2 linked regions of the Alligator mississippiensis genome follow. The protein of the gene in region 2 purifies or fractionates together with the protein of the main gene of each other region. This does not show direct contact. Links are inferred from orthologs where the notes say so. Each region holds a gene or a part of one and is shown on either strand. Other genes may lie near its edges.

Evidence for each region. The genes of interacting proteins can lie anywhere in the genome.
Region 1: the proteins of RBM17 (region 2) and SNRPB2 purify together in Homo sapiens (affinity purification with mass spectrometry; 3 studies listed by BioGRID and IntAct, with this or other methods). This does not show direct contact. The link is inferred for Alligator mississippiensis from reciprocal best matches to the Homo sapiens genes RBM17 and SNRPB2.

The regions. Positions count from the first base shown.
Region 1 is NC_081824.1:218,461,053-218,468,873, reverse strand, and holds the start of SNRPB2 (U2 small nuclear ribonucleoprotein B''), read left to right. Parts: upstream 1-4,805; 5' UTR 4,806-5,015; intron 5,016-7,821. UniProt on the Homo sapiens protein: Involved in pre-mRNA splicing as component of the spliceosome. Associated with sn-RNP U2, where it contributes to the binding of stem loop IV of U2 snRNA.
Region 2 is NC_081827.1:9,433,961-9,441,975, forward strand, and holds the start of RBM17 (splicing factor 45), read left to right. Parts: upstream 1-5,004; 5' UTR 5,005-5,087; intron 5,088-5,796; exon of another isoform or gene 5,797-6,030; intron 6,031-8,015. UniProt on the Homo sapiens protein: Splice factor that binds to the single-stranded 3'AG at the exon/intron border and promotes its utilization in the second catalytic step. Involved in the regulation of alternative splicing and the utilization of cryptic splice sites.

The DNA.
Region 1 (7,821 bases), on a different chromosome or scaffold from region 2:
CTACAATGTGATCCGACACTTCCTGTACATCTTGTGCTCTGCTGCTTTCCCATGCATCTGTGCAAACGGATGATGTAGCTTTCAAAAGCTGACATGTCATTATTTCCGTGTATTTTTATGCAAAAGACATGCTGTTACTCATAACAATATAATTATTTGTTATGTAGATTATGAAGCCATATGCAGGTATTTCCATCAACAATTAAGTGTTGCAAGGATAATTATATCATTGATGCTTTCTTGGAAATAATAACTCTTCACAGACAGTGAAGTGTAGCATCACCATCTACTTTTCTGGAGAACTGTATTCTAAAGATAGTCAGTCATCTTTCTCCAGGATTCAGTTTGGTATCTTTTCTCTCCTATATATCTATTAGCAACGTGACCTTCCCGAATTCCTGCCACACTGCACAAGTATTCATATTTGCAAATGATACAGATCTTGTATCTGCAAAATGCAGGATTAATGTAGTAGCCTGCTATCCATATCATCCGACCTGGGCATTGCTATAGTCTCATTGTGGTTTCCTGGCAACAAAGTGCTACAGCACTTTCATGAATGTTAACAATTTTTATTCATATAGCCTTTAGTGACTTCCTTAGAGTCTTGCAGAAATGAATGAGTGTATCATTGTTATCTGCTTCTTGAATATCAGCCTCAAACACAAATCTTTTTCTGTTCGGGGAAAGAATTATTAATGTGATTTCATCTAGAAATATCACTTCTATTTTTCTCAGTAGACATTTAGTTCTGGGATCTTACCCTATTATTTCTCCTCAAAATATAACAATAATTGCATTTCTGGTCATATTGTCTGGAACAACTCTGACTGATTTTATCAGGTTTTAGTTTTACAGGAGGAACATGTGACAATGTAACTAATATATTGCTGGGTATATAGCTGTTTCTTTTAGAAAGAATAAAATAATTAAAATTGCAATTTAAAAATATTAATATATATATATTTTTTTAATTATAACTAGGAAAACCAAAACAAAGAGCTGTCACAGATATGTTATATTCCCTAGTCTATATTTCTTCTTCGAGTAGAAACTGAAACTGTGGTGGGGACCAATTTGTACTGGGCATATACATATAGTAAAGGAAGGTCCCTTCCCTGAAGAACTTAAAGCTGAATCCTAATTCATTTTATGCATCTAAATGCAGTTATGCAGTTACATTATTCTGACTTTGGGCACTTATATGCAGTTTTTTTATTCCATTTTCCCTGTGATGGAATAGGATCAACCTATGTGAGTACCTGCCAGAAGCAAAATGGAAAAAGAGAAGGATACATGGTCCAGTACATTTGATCAGGTATATGCAAAAGGCCAGGTAAGTCCTGAAACTATAAGCTGGACAAAAACTTGAGACTAGCAGGTGTTAGGCATCATAGGATATCTAATATTTAGCTGCTTTCCACCTGCGTTCCCATGGGAGTTTGAACTTATATCTTCTGCTTCCTAACAAAGTAGTCTAACCATAAGGCCACAGGATAGACATTAAATGGGTAGCTTCCCAGTCCTCTGCATCTTGCATTTAATGTCCATTGGATGAAAAGGACAGAAAAAAGTCAGGAAGTTTCTGCCCCATTGAGACCAGGCCAAAACCCAGGACATTCTCCTATCCAGGATAGTAACTATCTCCCTGAACTCAACAACCTTTAGTTTGTATTCTTCATCCTGGCCCCACATATCTTCCTCTCTTGGTTGTCTAGAGGCCAGCTTCAAGGGGAGGGCTAAAAAGGATCTGGATAATACCTAGCCTGTGGCCTGGTGATTACAGCACTATACTAAAATGCAGGTCCAGGTGTCATCTGGATGACGGGGATGTAGGATTAAGGTCTCCTGCTCCCTGCTAATATATGGGAGGGATCTAACATTCTGGCATCTAACACCCAGAAGTCATGAATTTTTGCCTGGTGACCATTTTGGGACTTACCAAGCTTACGTGTGTACCTGAGTAAAGGTAGAGCACTGTGTACCTGCCCAGCAAAAGCACAATTCAACTGAACATATTCAGTGAGACTGGGGATTGCTGGCATTTTCTGCAGGGTGCTTGGAATCTAAAAAGTTTGAGAATCAGTGGAATAGATACAGAGTTATTCATACTTCCTGAGGTGACCTAGGTTCTGCTACATTACCAGGACAGCGAGAAAGCTTGTCTTGCCACTGCTTTTGTTGAATTTGTTGTATAAGGGACTAAGTTAGAGTCCCATCAAATCAATGGAGAAATCACTGTTTTAATGAGCTCTGTGTCAGGTTCAACAGAACTTGCAGCTTTCAGTCCCTGTCACTGTCAGTTTAGACCTTGATCTTGAAAACACTTGAACCCTAAGCACAAGCTTGCTCCTACTGATTCAATGTCAATTTAAGCATATGAATAAGTGATTGCAGAATCATTTCCCCCATCGCTTGAGGGAAAATTAATAAGCCACAACCTATTCAGCTTTCCACATTACAATTATTTTAGCTCTTTCTGGTTTACTTAGATCTTATATAGCACTTCTCACCTGAATAACTCAAGCCATTCAGTAATGAAGTAAATACTATTTTAATGTTATCCATGCCACTTTATTCCTCCATTCAGAAAGAATCCTGGAGGAAAGCATCCCTGAAAATTGACCAGAGAATACTGGCCTCAAAATGTTCTCACAGCATAATATGAGACTTCATCAAACATGTGCTCATGGGATTATATTCCGTTATGTTAGATTATTTTGTCTATTATGAATAATGTCATATGCACCTACTCTCATTAAATTCTGTATTCAGTTAGTAGGCTGGAATGCAAAGCCCTGGCAGATAAGACAAAGTACTGAACAGAAAAGGTTTCAATGCTCAAATAACACAAGGAGAATTTTAGTTGTGATTCAGCCTGGCCAAGTTAAAATCATCATCTATTTCATCAGGAATCATCAGCAAGACAACATCTGTAAATAATGTCATGCAGGTTTCTGCCCAAGGAATAGCTCATGGTTCAAAGAGGAAAGCTAGCTTCCATGACCTATATTCTTCTCTTGAGAAGCAGGACACAGAAGGCCTGGAAAAAGCTGGATTTATACTACATTTGTGTCACCCAGATTCTGGCCTATCACATGGGCCAAAGTAGTTTATTGCTTGAGTTAGAGGGAGATTTTCTTTTTCTATTCCTACCAGTCTGCCACCTATGCTGAAGTCTATGAAATGAAAGCAGTGAAGGACTGTAGCAAACAAGAACAAAAGATAGAGTTCAAAGCAGAAGCCAGGATTCAGCTTTAATATGTTGCAGTTTTCCCATTTGTCTTACATCAGAAGTAGTCCTAGGATATGCAATTAATCTAAAATGGTGTCCACCAGCAAGCAGTGCTGGATAATATTGGTACCAGAGGAAATTTGGACTGATTAAAAAACCCAACCAGACATAAATCCCTCTTCTTTCCATGAGTTATATAAGCCTGAAGTATTAGCTTATATGAAAAGAAAAACAAAGCAGTGCCTTTATCTATAGCCATGGTAGTTTTATGTAAGGTTTCGGTGGTGGCTTAATAATTTAATTTCCTTTTACAGAATAATTTAATATTAGCTTTCCCCACTGGGTTATTTTTCCCCACCATATTGCTGGGGGTGGAGGGGCTTTGTCAGCTGTGGATTTAAATAAGATACAGTGAAGAAGGACTCTTGGCAGCAAGCAGAACTAGTTTCTCAGTTAACAATCAATGCACAGGCTTGCATTGCTGTCACAAATATTGATACACTGTTTTGTGTCCCAAGTCAAATTGCTGTTTAGCTTGGTGGAACAATCAATCATATCCCAGGATAAAAGTTCTTTGAAAGATCATGCTTAACTCTCTGGCAGCCCTAGTTTGAAGATGGGGCCAAGAAACCCTTTTGATTATTAACATTGTTCTATGACAGATTGTATAGGGATATTCTTTCCCAGATTGTTTTCCTGGATAAAAGAGTCCTGGGAGCGAGGAAGTGTGTGAGTAATGTATTTCAATCACATTTAGCTGATATAAGGGGTTAGTGGCCTCTTTGGGTAATATATAGCTTGGACTGAGTTAGCCTAAAATGAGTTTAAGATGAATTCCCTGCAGAAATGGTTCACATCGTGTGATCTGGCTGCTGAGTAGTATTTCTTAAGCGACAGTGTTCCAATCTGACTTTCTCAAAGGTCATGATTACTGAGCAAGGTTAATATGGGAACACTTCTTTCCTACAAGCAAGGTCCTTAAGGCATCAGGTTTTTCAAAGAATTTACTAAAAAGAGGTTAGGAAGCATTTAATGTATAAACTCTAAAGCTGATACTTCACTGCCCTGCTGCTTGTGTAGTCATTTGTGTAAGTGCAAAGGGGTACAAAATGTTGCCATGTCAGAGTAGCAACATGTTACAGTCAGTTTGTGCTGGTGAATATTACTTTCTAGGGTGTGTCAGAACCCATTAATTAGATGCCTATAGCACAGAGGAGAATTGGTATAGCCCAGAGGAGAAATGACATAGCACAGAGGAAAATTCCATGGGTTCGATACATATGGCATAGTTTTGCTGTCAATCATTCTGGTGGCAGTAACTAGGTCATGGAGGAAAATTCCGCTATGCCTGAACCCAGTAACCAAATGCTACAATAGTGGAAAATTACAGTTTAGAAAAAAGTTCCCGCCACTCATATGCAAATTCACATTATTATTGGCCAGTTTTAAATTATTCCTACGTGGCGACTAGCGATTGGCTTGCTAGCCATATAAGAGGTTGAAGCAGTTTCTGCCCAAGTTGGAGAACTCCACATACATCTCGTGGAGAGCTCTGAGCACGCTGTGGAGCCTAGCAAACTCCGCGTGTGTCTTAGAGAAGGACTTAGGGGCCTGATCAACCTCTAATCGCTCCCCGTCACCGACCTAGACCTAGACGTAACCCGACAACTGCCGGCTCGACACATTTGCAGACCGAATGAACTTTGTAATTTCTGCCCGACCCAAGTTTTGTTTACAACTGTAATCGAAGCAAGCTTCTGGCCTGCACTGTACGAGCAGTGTAAGTAAACAACCTTTTTGTTTAATCAAAACGCGTCAGTACCTGATTCCACTCCAAGCATCACAAGTGCCCGCCCGCCGACTAGGGCTCCCAAGGCCCCGAACCCCGCGCCGCGGCTCTTGGCGGTGACAGGGTGCAGGGTGATAAAGGTCTACAAAGAATATTCGCTTTTAACACATGCAGTCAGATTAAAGTATGGATTGCTTCAGAGCCTGGATTTTATGTGGTGTATTCAGACAACACCACTGTTAGCTGAAATGTGAAAAAGGACAGGAAACAATAGGAAAGAAAACCCAAGCAGTTTGTGCATTTTTATTGTTGCTGTTAACATTTGAAAGGGCAAACTAGGCTGCATCATGATGGAATCTAAGTAATTAGATGGTTTTCTTCAAGGATAATTTTGTATTTGAATAGTTGGCCAGTTTCCCAGTAGAATCCTAGTAAGTTTGTCACAATTTAGTTTTGACTATGCCCCAGTCTGTTCCTGAAACAAAGAAACTATGAACTATATTTTACTTAAGAGTCGTTTATAAATCCACAATCTAGTCTAGTGCTTCCAGTGACAGCTCTGCTATCCAGAGACTGTCTTTATTCTATGCCTGTATGTAAAGGGAACAATCATCCTGGACTTTTTGGGACAGTTCTGAATTTGGGGGCTGTGTCCTGGTGTCCCCAAAGCTTCTTTGAAATTGAATTTTTATTCCAAATTTGAAAAATTGGTCCTGATTTGGTGACTGAGATTCACAAATTATTCAAAACTGACTATCCACCATCAGTTTCAAGGGTGCTAACAGTTGCCTGTAAGGTCTCTGGGCACATACCCGAGATTTTACTTCCTTGAAAATGGTTGCTTTCTCTGTATAGTGCATAGCAGAATGGGATTTAGATCTTTGTTTGGCTTTTAGTTGTTCCTGTAAAGAATGATATTGTGTAGGTCAGTCCATATAAAAATCCTTACATTTCCAGGAACACAATTTAGATTTATCATTTCTGGTAAGCCTTTATCAGTACTTTAAAATACAGTGATTGAAGCCTGAATATTAGCAATAACTGATGTTCTATCAGTAATTAAACCAGTTTGGTCATTAATTATTAGGAATGTTGCCATCTCGTTTTAAAAGTGAAATAGGACAACTCCAAACATATCTGTAGGGCTTGGGGGAGAGATGGATACTATAAGGTAAAGGAAGAAGAAATTGTACTCTGAGGATAGGTGTACAGTCAGAGGTGCTGCTGTCAATCTGTGAGTACAGAACACAGAATCATATTGTGATAGCTTTAATCCAAGTAGAAGGGGTAGCAACATGGGTTAACAACACGAGTATCTATCTACCCAGATGGCTTCTGTAGTCCATGGTGAAACCTGAGATATTATGTTAGCACGCTGCCTCATGCTGCAATGGTACCTTCAACTGCAACTATGTACAGACCCTGAGAAAATTAGTTATAATGGCATCAAATTCATCTTGGAATTTTTAGATATCTGTCCAAAGCAAACATAACAAACCTGGATACACAGTTTTCCAGGATATACTGTAACCTCAGAGAAGAGTTGAAGAGACAAAAGTTGAACAAAAAGGAGGTTCTGATCCTATTCTGGCAGGAAAAGAACAGAGAACTAAGTGCCTTTTTTCGGATTTAGACATGGGAGGAGATGTCTTCCTACCTACTCTTGAAAATTCAGGAGCAAGCCAGGGAGCCTCAGCATAAAGAAGTCAAGAAGTAAGAGCCTAAAAGTTCACCTGGCCTGCTGCACACAAACTATGGTGAAGTAGGAAGGTTCAGAAAAGCCTTCCTGAAAGTGTATGCAAACATTTCCTGATTTTCATTAGAAGTTCATGGAAGCTTTGCAACACAGAGGTTGAAAAATATCTGTTTTTCAAGGAATGTTGAAAAATTGCTTTAATTTTATGTCAGTTTTCATGGCAAACACTGGTTTCAGTTTCAGCAAAATGAAACTACTTATATTATTTTTTGAAAAATACAGGTTTTAAAAACTATTTTAAAAAATGTATTTAAGTGATATATTTTTAGAATTTAGAAATGTTGTTTAAAATGTGTTTTGTATTTCACTTAAGGAAACAGAAAAATTAATAAAAAGTAATGTTGGCTCAAAAAAAATCTATTCTCAATGGAAAAGTAAGTTTGACAAAAATAAACCTTTTCTCAAACAAATGCTTTGACAAGCTCTACTTGGCACTTTCTCCTTTCAAGCTTAAAGCAGGACAGTTTTATTTGTTTTGTGTGATAGCTGAAAAGTATTGCAGATGTTAGTGTGCACAAAAGCAAGGTGAAAAGTATAGTCCCAAGCCACACTTGGAGTTAAGAATACACCACTGGAGTCAATCAGAATTTTTCTGTTGGGTTGTTTGGGAGTAAAACTGAACTTCTTACTATTAGGATCAGAGACTTGCGCACCAAGCCATTTGAGGAAAGGCTGAAGCAGCTGGGATTCTTCAGCCTGAAAAAGAGAAGGCTGAGAGGAGACTTGGTAGCAGCTTATATCAGGGGAGTACATCAAGAGGTTGGTGAACAACTGTTCACCAGGGCACCCTTGGGGAAAACCAGGAGTAATGGCTACAAACTCTTGGAAGACCATTTGAGGCTCAACATTAGGAAAAACTTCTTCATAATTAGAGTGTCCAGACTGTGGGATAAGCTCCCTCCAGAGGTGGTGCAATTGCCTACCCTGGAAATCTTCAAGAGGAGGTTGGACGGTCATCTTGCTGGGGTCACCTGATCCTAGCTGTCTTTCCTGCCTGGTACAGGGGGATGGACCCGATGATCTTCTGAGGTCCATTTCAGC
Region 2 (8,015 bases):
CTTGGTAGTCATGCATGGGGATTGTTCACAAAGGTTTTAAAAGCAAATAGCTGGACAAATACTTGCCTATGATGCTTTATATAGGGATGATCCTGCCTTGAGCACGGGATTAAACTAGATGACCTCCTGGGGTCCATTGGAGCTGTACTTTTTTATGATGCAATGCACTGAGTTATTGGAGCCTTCTCGGGCAGATCCAGAGGGGCTGCACCCCCACCCCCACTTTCTGACCATGGGGCAGGAGCAGCAGTTGGGGACTTCTTTAAGTCCTGAAGATCAGAATTGCCCCCTCCTTTCCCCTCCAAGCTGAGGTTGTACCCTCCCCTCCCATTTCCCCCTCCCCTGCCTGCTGCTGCCCCTGTCCTTGCTGTCCTGGGGGTGAGGAGAGCTCCGACCCAGCTCCAGTTGGGCCATGCTGGACTTGGGTTCAGTCTGGGAAAGTAATAGTGGTGGTGGCAGGTGGGCTCCCTCTCCCTGCCTGGTTCCCCTGGGTGTTCCCCACCAGTCTGGGAGCAGATGCAAGGAGGGGAAACTTCCCACTGCCACCACTGTCCCAGGCTGAGCCCAGACCCCATGCAGCCCAGCTGGAGGGAGACAGGAGCTCCCTTCACCCCCAGGATTGCATATACAGCAGCAGTGGCAGGTGTGGCAAGGGACATGCTCTGAGCAAAGAGTATGGTGGGGGGGAATGCTTAACTGTTTTGGGGGACTTAAAATGGTCCCTAATTGCCGATCTCATGGCACGGTCTGGTCTCACTGGTATTGGTGGGGAGGAGGCTGGGAGTAGGGGGTGCTGCTCCTGTGCCCCTTTTTCAACATCCTGCATCTGCTCCTGGAGCCTTCTGGGGGTAAGGAGACATTTTAAAGCAACGTGAGTGTTGCAGGTGATGATGGAGCCTCTGATATCCCTCCTGCTCCTGAGGCTGACATACCCATATCTAGTCTTTGGGTATAATCCTGGGGGCTGGACTCGGAGATCTTCCGAGATCCCTTCCAGCCCGAATGTCTATGAAATCTAATGTCTATGAAAGTACCCACGTCACATACTTGGTGGGTAGGAGATTTGCTTTGTTTTGTAGTAGCCAACAAGGGCTGTGTACTTCCCCCCAACCCTGACCATTCATCAGTTTTCAAGGTTTGAGTGGGGGGAAAAAAATTGAAACACAACAGCAGAGCAACTATGGAGGATATTGAGATAACCCCCCCACCCCAGACCCATGAAGACAATATCAGATCAGGCAGGCAGCCAGTTTGTTTCTCTATTTCACCTCTTCCCTGCTTTGAATATTGGCCGAGCCTTCCCCAGTTCTCAAAGTTTCATTGAGCCACATGATCTTCTGTAAAAGGCAACACGTTTTTGGTTTTTTTTTTAAACTGCTTCAGATGTTCAAGCAAATGCCGGTTTATGCTTTCAATTCCATACTGTGCAAACAGCAGTAAGAGTTCCCTTCTTGTCTCAGCAGGTCTTACAAAACGGTTGCAAAGCACCACAACATGTGGGGCCCGAAGAGAGAAGGGAGAACGATTCTCCCTTCTGTGGGATGCCCGCTTTTACATATACAGCAGGCAAAATATTAGGAGAAATCCTCTCAGATTTCAGCAGTCCCTAAATATTTTTAACAGCTCAGATTTGGTGGGAGGAGGGGTAAAAAAAAGTTAAGAGACTCTAAATGCAGCAAAATTCCCGATGGGAGATCGGGAATGAGAATCGGGAATGAGAATTAAAGTGAGAATTTTGTCTGAAAACTGCAGCTTTTGTATAATATCTGGCTGGGGACTTTTCAGATGCTGTAACATTATATTCCTGTTATATTTCCATACTGATGCTTTGAATAGGGGTAGCCCCTGGGAGCCCCAGTCCTGGGGCAGGACCTCATAGTGCTAAATTCTGTACGAACACATTAATAAAAGAGCTGTTGCATACCCAAAGACTAGATAGATAGGCAGAGAGAGCATTGGTATCACTCAAACAAGGGATAAACATGGAGTGTGCACAACTACAGTACTGTGCTCTGGGGCAAAAAGTTAGGCTGTTTGGTTTCAGGTCTTTTTTAAAGAGTTGAACTGAACAATCAGTTTATTAGTGAATGGATTGGATCAATGGTTTTCAACCTTTTTAGACTCAAAGCACCCCTTGTTAGACTCAAGGCACCCCTCGGAAAATGCCAGCTCTTAGTTTTCGCTAGTTTTTGACTACAGAAAAGCTGCTTTCAGTATTTTTCTATTGCAAAGAACTCAAAAAGACCACAGCAGATCTGAGTGTTTTCAAAACAATGGATCCCTATTTGAAATTTCTGAGCTTATCTTGTGAATTATGTTTGTATGCTAACAGTACTAAAACCGCATGGCACCTAGGGGCACCCTTGAAAGACTCTCGCGGTACCCTGGATAAGAATCACTGGATTGAGACTGTGGTGTGAGTTTTCAGACGGTGTGACACATTGTGAATGATTGCCCTCTTCGATCATTTAATGGCGATCTAAAATCAATCCGTGCAGCTACCCCTGAAACAGTCAAATGGCTATCAAATTTAGATATTAAACTATGAATGTTGTATGAACATTGCAATCCTAAAATGTCATGTGAAATAGAGAGATGGGATTAGATGGAAGACTCTATATCAGGGGTGGGCAATTATTTTGGGGGGAGGGCCGCTTACTGAGTTTTGGGAAGCCATCGAGGGCCGCATGACAGACAGCCAGGGGCAGGTAAATATTAATTTTCTAAATTTTTAGGGGCTCCGCGGGCCGGAGAGAATGGCCTGGTGGGCTGCATCTGGCCCATGGGCTGCATTGTGCCCTTCCCTGCTCTATATGCACAGTGCTCCTGCTTTTTCTTGAGAACTAGCAGCGGGGAGTTGGCTAGAAGAGGTGTTGTTGCATCTTGTTCTATGAACAAAAGAAATGAGCAAAAACCCAGGGCTCTTGTTTGGCACTAACATGCTCATGGAAAATCGTAACGCTTGGTTTTCTTTCTTTCTCTTGTCCTCCATTCATTATTTTGGTTTATTATTTATGTTTGTGATTAGCTAGGACCCTGCTCCCCCCCCCGCCTGCAGGTTGCTTCTCCTTTCCCCAGAGGGGTGGCTTCCAGATACCTTCCCCTATACAAGCATGGCTGGCAGGTACCTGAGCGATGCATCTTCTCCTTTTTTACCTTTAGCCCCTTCCCAATGCAATCCCTGCTTCCTGCTGAGAGCAGGGAGAAGGGCTGCGATGTCCGCAGAGGGGGTGACATGATTACACACATGCAACGGGCACAATCACAGGCTGGCTTTTCCTCTGTCTCCTTGGGGTGGGTGCACAAAGTACAGAGGAACTGGTGACTCAGGGGGCACAGAGATATCCACTCTTGCATTAACATGATACTGCCAAAGGTGCCAAGCTAGTTGCAACTATGAATTGGCGCTGGGAAAGGCAGGGTGCCTGCCCTGCGGTGCAGGTGAGGGAATGGTGCCTGTGAGCATCAGTGGGGCTCACTCGTTCACAGGGGGCAGCCCCGCTCTGTTCCCAATGCCTGGTGGGTTTGGCTCCATGTAAAGAACAGGGGATGTTACAACCCAGGGGCTGAGATGGTAGAGGGCTCTCTACCTCAGCTTTGCAAATCCACCTTTTCAGAGATTTGAATGTGCATTACCTTCAGTCCCGTCCCAATGCTAGTCTTGCTTCCTACGGGGAGCAGGGGGAAATACAGAATCAAAGAATCACAGAACATGAGGGTTGAAGGGACCTCAGGAGGTCACATCTAGTCCAACCGCCTGCTCAGAGCAGGACCAGCCCCAACTACATCATCCCAGCCAAAGCTCTGTCTAGCCAGGTCTTAAAAACCTCCTAGGACAGAGATCCCACCACCTCTCTGGAAAGCCTGTTCCAGTGCTTTACTGCCCTTCCAGGGAGATATGAGGAAAGACTTTCTAACCTCAACTTCCCTTGCTGCAAATTGAGCCCGTTGCTCCTTGTTCTGTCATCTGCCACTACAGTCCAGCTCCATCCTTTTTGCAGCCTCCCTGCAGGTAATCGAAGGATGCTATTAAATCACCTCTCCGTCTTCTATTCTGCAAACTAAATAAACCCAGCTCTCTCAGCCTTTCCTCGCAAGCCCCCTAACCATTTTGTTGTCCTCTACTGGACTCTCTCCAATTTGTCCACATCCTTTCTGTAGTGGGGGGGCCCAAAACTGGACCTAGTACTCCAGATGTGGCCTCCCCAGTGCTGCATAGAGGGGAAGAATCACTTCCCTTGACCTGCTGGCATCACTTCTACCAATGCAGCCCGGGATGCTGTTAGCTTTCTTGGCAACAAGGGCACGCTGCTGGCTCATATTCAGCTCGTTGTCCAGTCACCCCCAGGTCCTTTCTGCAGAGCTGCTGCCCAGCCCATCAACCCCAGCCTGCACTGGTGCGTGGGACTGCTCTGTCCTAAGTGCAGGACTTTGCACTTGTTCTTGTAGAGAAGGGCTCTGACACCTGCAAGGAGGGCCCTGCAGCCAGTTTTCGTTGGGGACCAGTTCAGGACCAAAATGCTCCCAAGCCTGAAACCCAGGCATGTGGGTGTCACCCAGGGAGGGCTGGGGGAAGTGAGCCCTACCTTTAGTGTGCAAAGGGTTTTCCAATTGCAATTAGAATGCAAATTAACATTCTAACGGCCATTAACATTCTAATTGTAATTAACCCCTGATTTCATCATTCCCACCAGCCTATGGCTGTGTCCACCCTACAGGGCTCCCCTGGGGCGCAGCGCGCAGTACCCCCTCCCTGCCACTAGGGGGCAGACGCCACCCCTCTGCGGATACTCTCTCTCCCGGAGCCGCGCTCTCTATGGTGATGTAACGACATTTCCGCCCCTCCTCTTCTCGCCTACGAAGTTTGCACAGCTCCTGCTTTACGAGGCCCAGCCTTGCGGCGTAACTCTCCCGCTACTTGCGCAGCTTGCTCCAACACCGCTCTGCCCTGCCACCAAGTCGGACGCAGTTTGCGTAGCTCCCCTCAGCCACGCCCCTTCCCGCCGTGCGCTGCGCCGTTTACGTAGGGGCGGGCGGGCGACTGCGCAGGCGCGGGGCTCGCGGCGCTTCGTTCATGGCGGCGGCGAGTGAGTGTCCTGGGCCCGGCCCGCGTCGCTAATCGAGGCCGAGGCTTTAGGCCGCACCAGGCCGGGGCTTCCCGCGCCGGGCTGGGAAGGGGGGAAGCAGTGGGGTCGGGTTGTGCGCGGCGGGACGGGGTGTCCGCCCGGGTTAAACGTGGGGGAGGGGCTCTCACGGCGGGGGCGGGGCCAGAGAAGGGGGGAGGGGCGCCCCCATTGTGGAGGAGGGGGTCCCATGGGGGGAGGGGCGTCCCGTGGAGGGTTCCATGGGGGGGAGGAGCGTCCTGCGTGGGGGGTTCCATGGGGGGGAGGGGCGTCCCGTGGGGGGGGTTCCATAGGGGGGAGGGGCGTCCTGCGTGGGGGGTTCCATGGGGGGGAGGGGCGTCCCGTGGGGGGGTTCCATGGGGGGGAAGGGGGGTTCCAGGGGGGGAGGGTGTCCCATTGTGGGGGCGCGGCTGTAGGGGGTTGTGCTGTGTGTGTGTGTGTGTGTGTGGGGGGGGGGGGGGGGAGGGCATTGTCGCCAGGCCTGCATTGGGCGGGGGCAGCGCAGGGTTGGGGGGACCGTGGAGACGAGCTGGTTGCAAGCAGGGAAGAAGCGGCTGGCTGGAGGCTGCGAGAGGAGAGGAGAGGCAGGAAGAGCTACCAGGACCGGTGTCATGTGGCCGTGCTGGGTCCCTCTGCAGGGATGCCCAGAAGAAACAGGGCCTGCACCTTTTCGGTTATGCGCTCCCCGTCTGCAGCCCCGCCGAGCCGCAGGACCTCCTGGTCAGCCTCCTCCTGGCCCTAGCCAAGCGGGACGTCTGTTTGACCAGGAAGGAGGCTCCAGCCAGGGAAGCCGTCGGGGACTGCCGGGCTCCTTTGCTGTCCTGGTTCAACTCGCGTCTGCAGGCAGAGTTTCATCGGGCAGCATCCGCTAGCCCCTTGGACTCGTTGGAGGGCCGGCGGCCCCTCGGTATGCATCCACTGATTCCTTGGGACAACTTATAATGAGAGCGGGGACAGGAGCGGGGGTCAGAGTTGGATAACGAGAGCACCAAGGATGGGGGACCCCGAGCAGAGCTCATCAGCCAGCGCCCACCGGCCCTCGAACATGTGTAAGGAGTCAGTAGATGCCATCTGGTGAAAATGCCCGCAGACGTGATTAGATAAGGGACAGGAGGATGGCCCCAGAGTCCCTGTTGAGACCCCCAGCTGGAGCCTCTTTCCTGGACAGGCCTATTTGACACGTTTTGTGGACATGGGCCTTAGGCCCACAAAGCAACAGTTAGTGCCCCTTGCTAATAGAGGGGGCTATTGGATACATGTCAGTTGATGACATGGGACAAAAAGCAAAGCAGGGATGGGAGTGAAGGTTGTAGGTTAAAAACGAGTGCACTGAGGGGGACGTGGGACAGTGCCTCGAATGAGTCCAAGGAGCCAGTGGTGAGTGGACCAGTGAAACTCTGCCCGGAGATGTGAATAGACGAGGGACAGGAAACCGGCTGCATGGTCCCTGGGGGGTCTCCCACCCAGATCCTCCTTCCTGATCAGATAGATCGCTAATTTGGCTAAGGGCAGGGGGAGGTTGACCATGAGGGTCCCGGGACTTAATGGGGCTGTGGATAGGGAGAGCATAAGTGAAACGATGCAGGAGTAGTGCAGCCAGAGCCTCAGCAGGAAGTCCTAGAGGGCGCTGCAGCCTGGCACTCTTCAGGCAGGCACGTACCAGGGTCTCCCTCTGATCGCAGAAGGGGCAGGAGCTGGGGGCATCCATAAACTGCACCAGATACATGCCCATAGCAATCGCTCTGTGGAGGAGCCAGTAGCTGAGGTCCCCTGGAGGGTCGTGGGATCAGGGTGGAATATAAGCTTGTCCACCAGGCCGGCAGATGTAGGAAGTTCTGATTAGTAATAGGAGGAGCCAGCTTTAAAATAGTTGTATATATATTTGTCTATATCTATCTTCTTCCCTTGCTTGTCCTGTCTAAACAGGTTGCTTTTGCAGATCCTGGCTCTCCACTGACTTCGGTCATACTTATTTTCTTCTTCCAACTCCTCTCACGTTCTTCTGCAGTATCTCTCTCTATCTCATCTTTGGCCTTCCTCTTCCCCTTCTCCCTGGTAGCACCATTCTGATAACTTTATTCCTACGTATTCTTCTGGACTCCTTTGAACATACCCGTACCATGCCAGTCTTCTCTCTTGTACTTTCTTAGATGCCTCCGCTACCTTCACCAATCCTCTGATGTAAGAATTCTTCACTTTATCCATCTCCGTCACTCCACCCATCCGTCTGCGCAGTCTCACCTCTGTCACATTTAGTCGCCTTTCTTGTGTTTTCTTCATGGGCTGTCTTCACTCCGTACAATAGTACTGGGCACATGGACGTCTTGTAGACTTTCCTCTTCAGCTCCACTGATAATCTCCTGTCACATAATAGTCTTGTCACCAATTTCCAGTTTGTCCACCCTGCTGTTACTCAGTGGTTCAACTCTTCATCTAACCCTGCTGACCGGTTGACCTCACATACTTGAACTTGTTAACTTTTCGAACATGTTTCTCATCGATTATCACATTTGCAACATCAGGTATCTCAGAGAAATCACAGTAAATGTATTCCGTTTTGGATCAACTCATCTTCATTCCTCTTCCCTCTTGTACTTCTTTCCATTGGTCCAAACCAGCTTGCATTTCCTCTAAACTCTTGGCGCAAATGACCATGTTGTCCACAAACATCATGTTCCACGGAGGTCTCCTTCTTATTTGTTCAGTAAACACATCCATCGTGACCGCAAATAGGAACGGACTCAAAGCTGACCCTTGATGAATGCCCATCTTCACCTCAAAACTCTGTCTCTCTCAAACTGCTCCTCACTTTCGTTGTACATTTGCAATATATGTCCTCAGTGGTTCTGACATATTTCTGCGGCATATCCTTAACTTTCAGACGCTTCATAT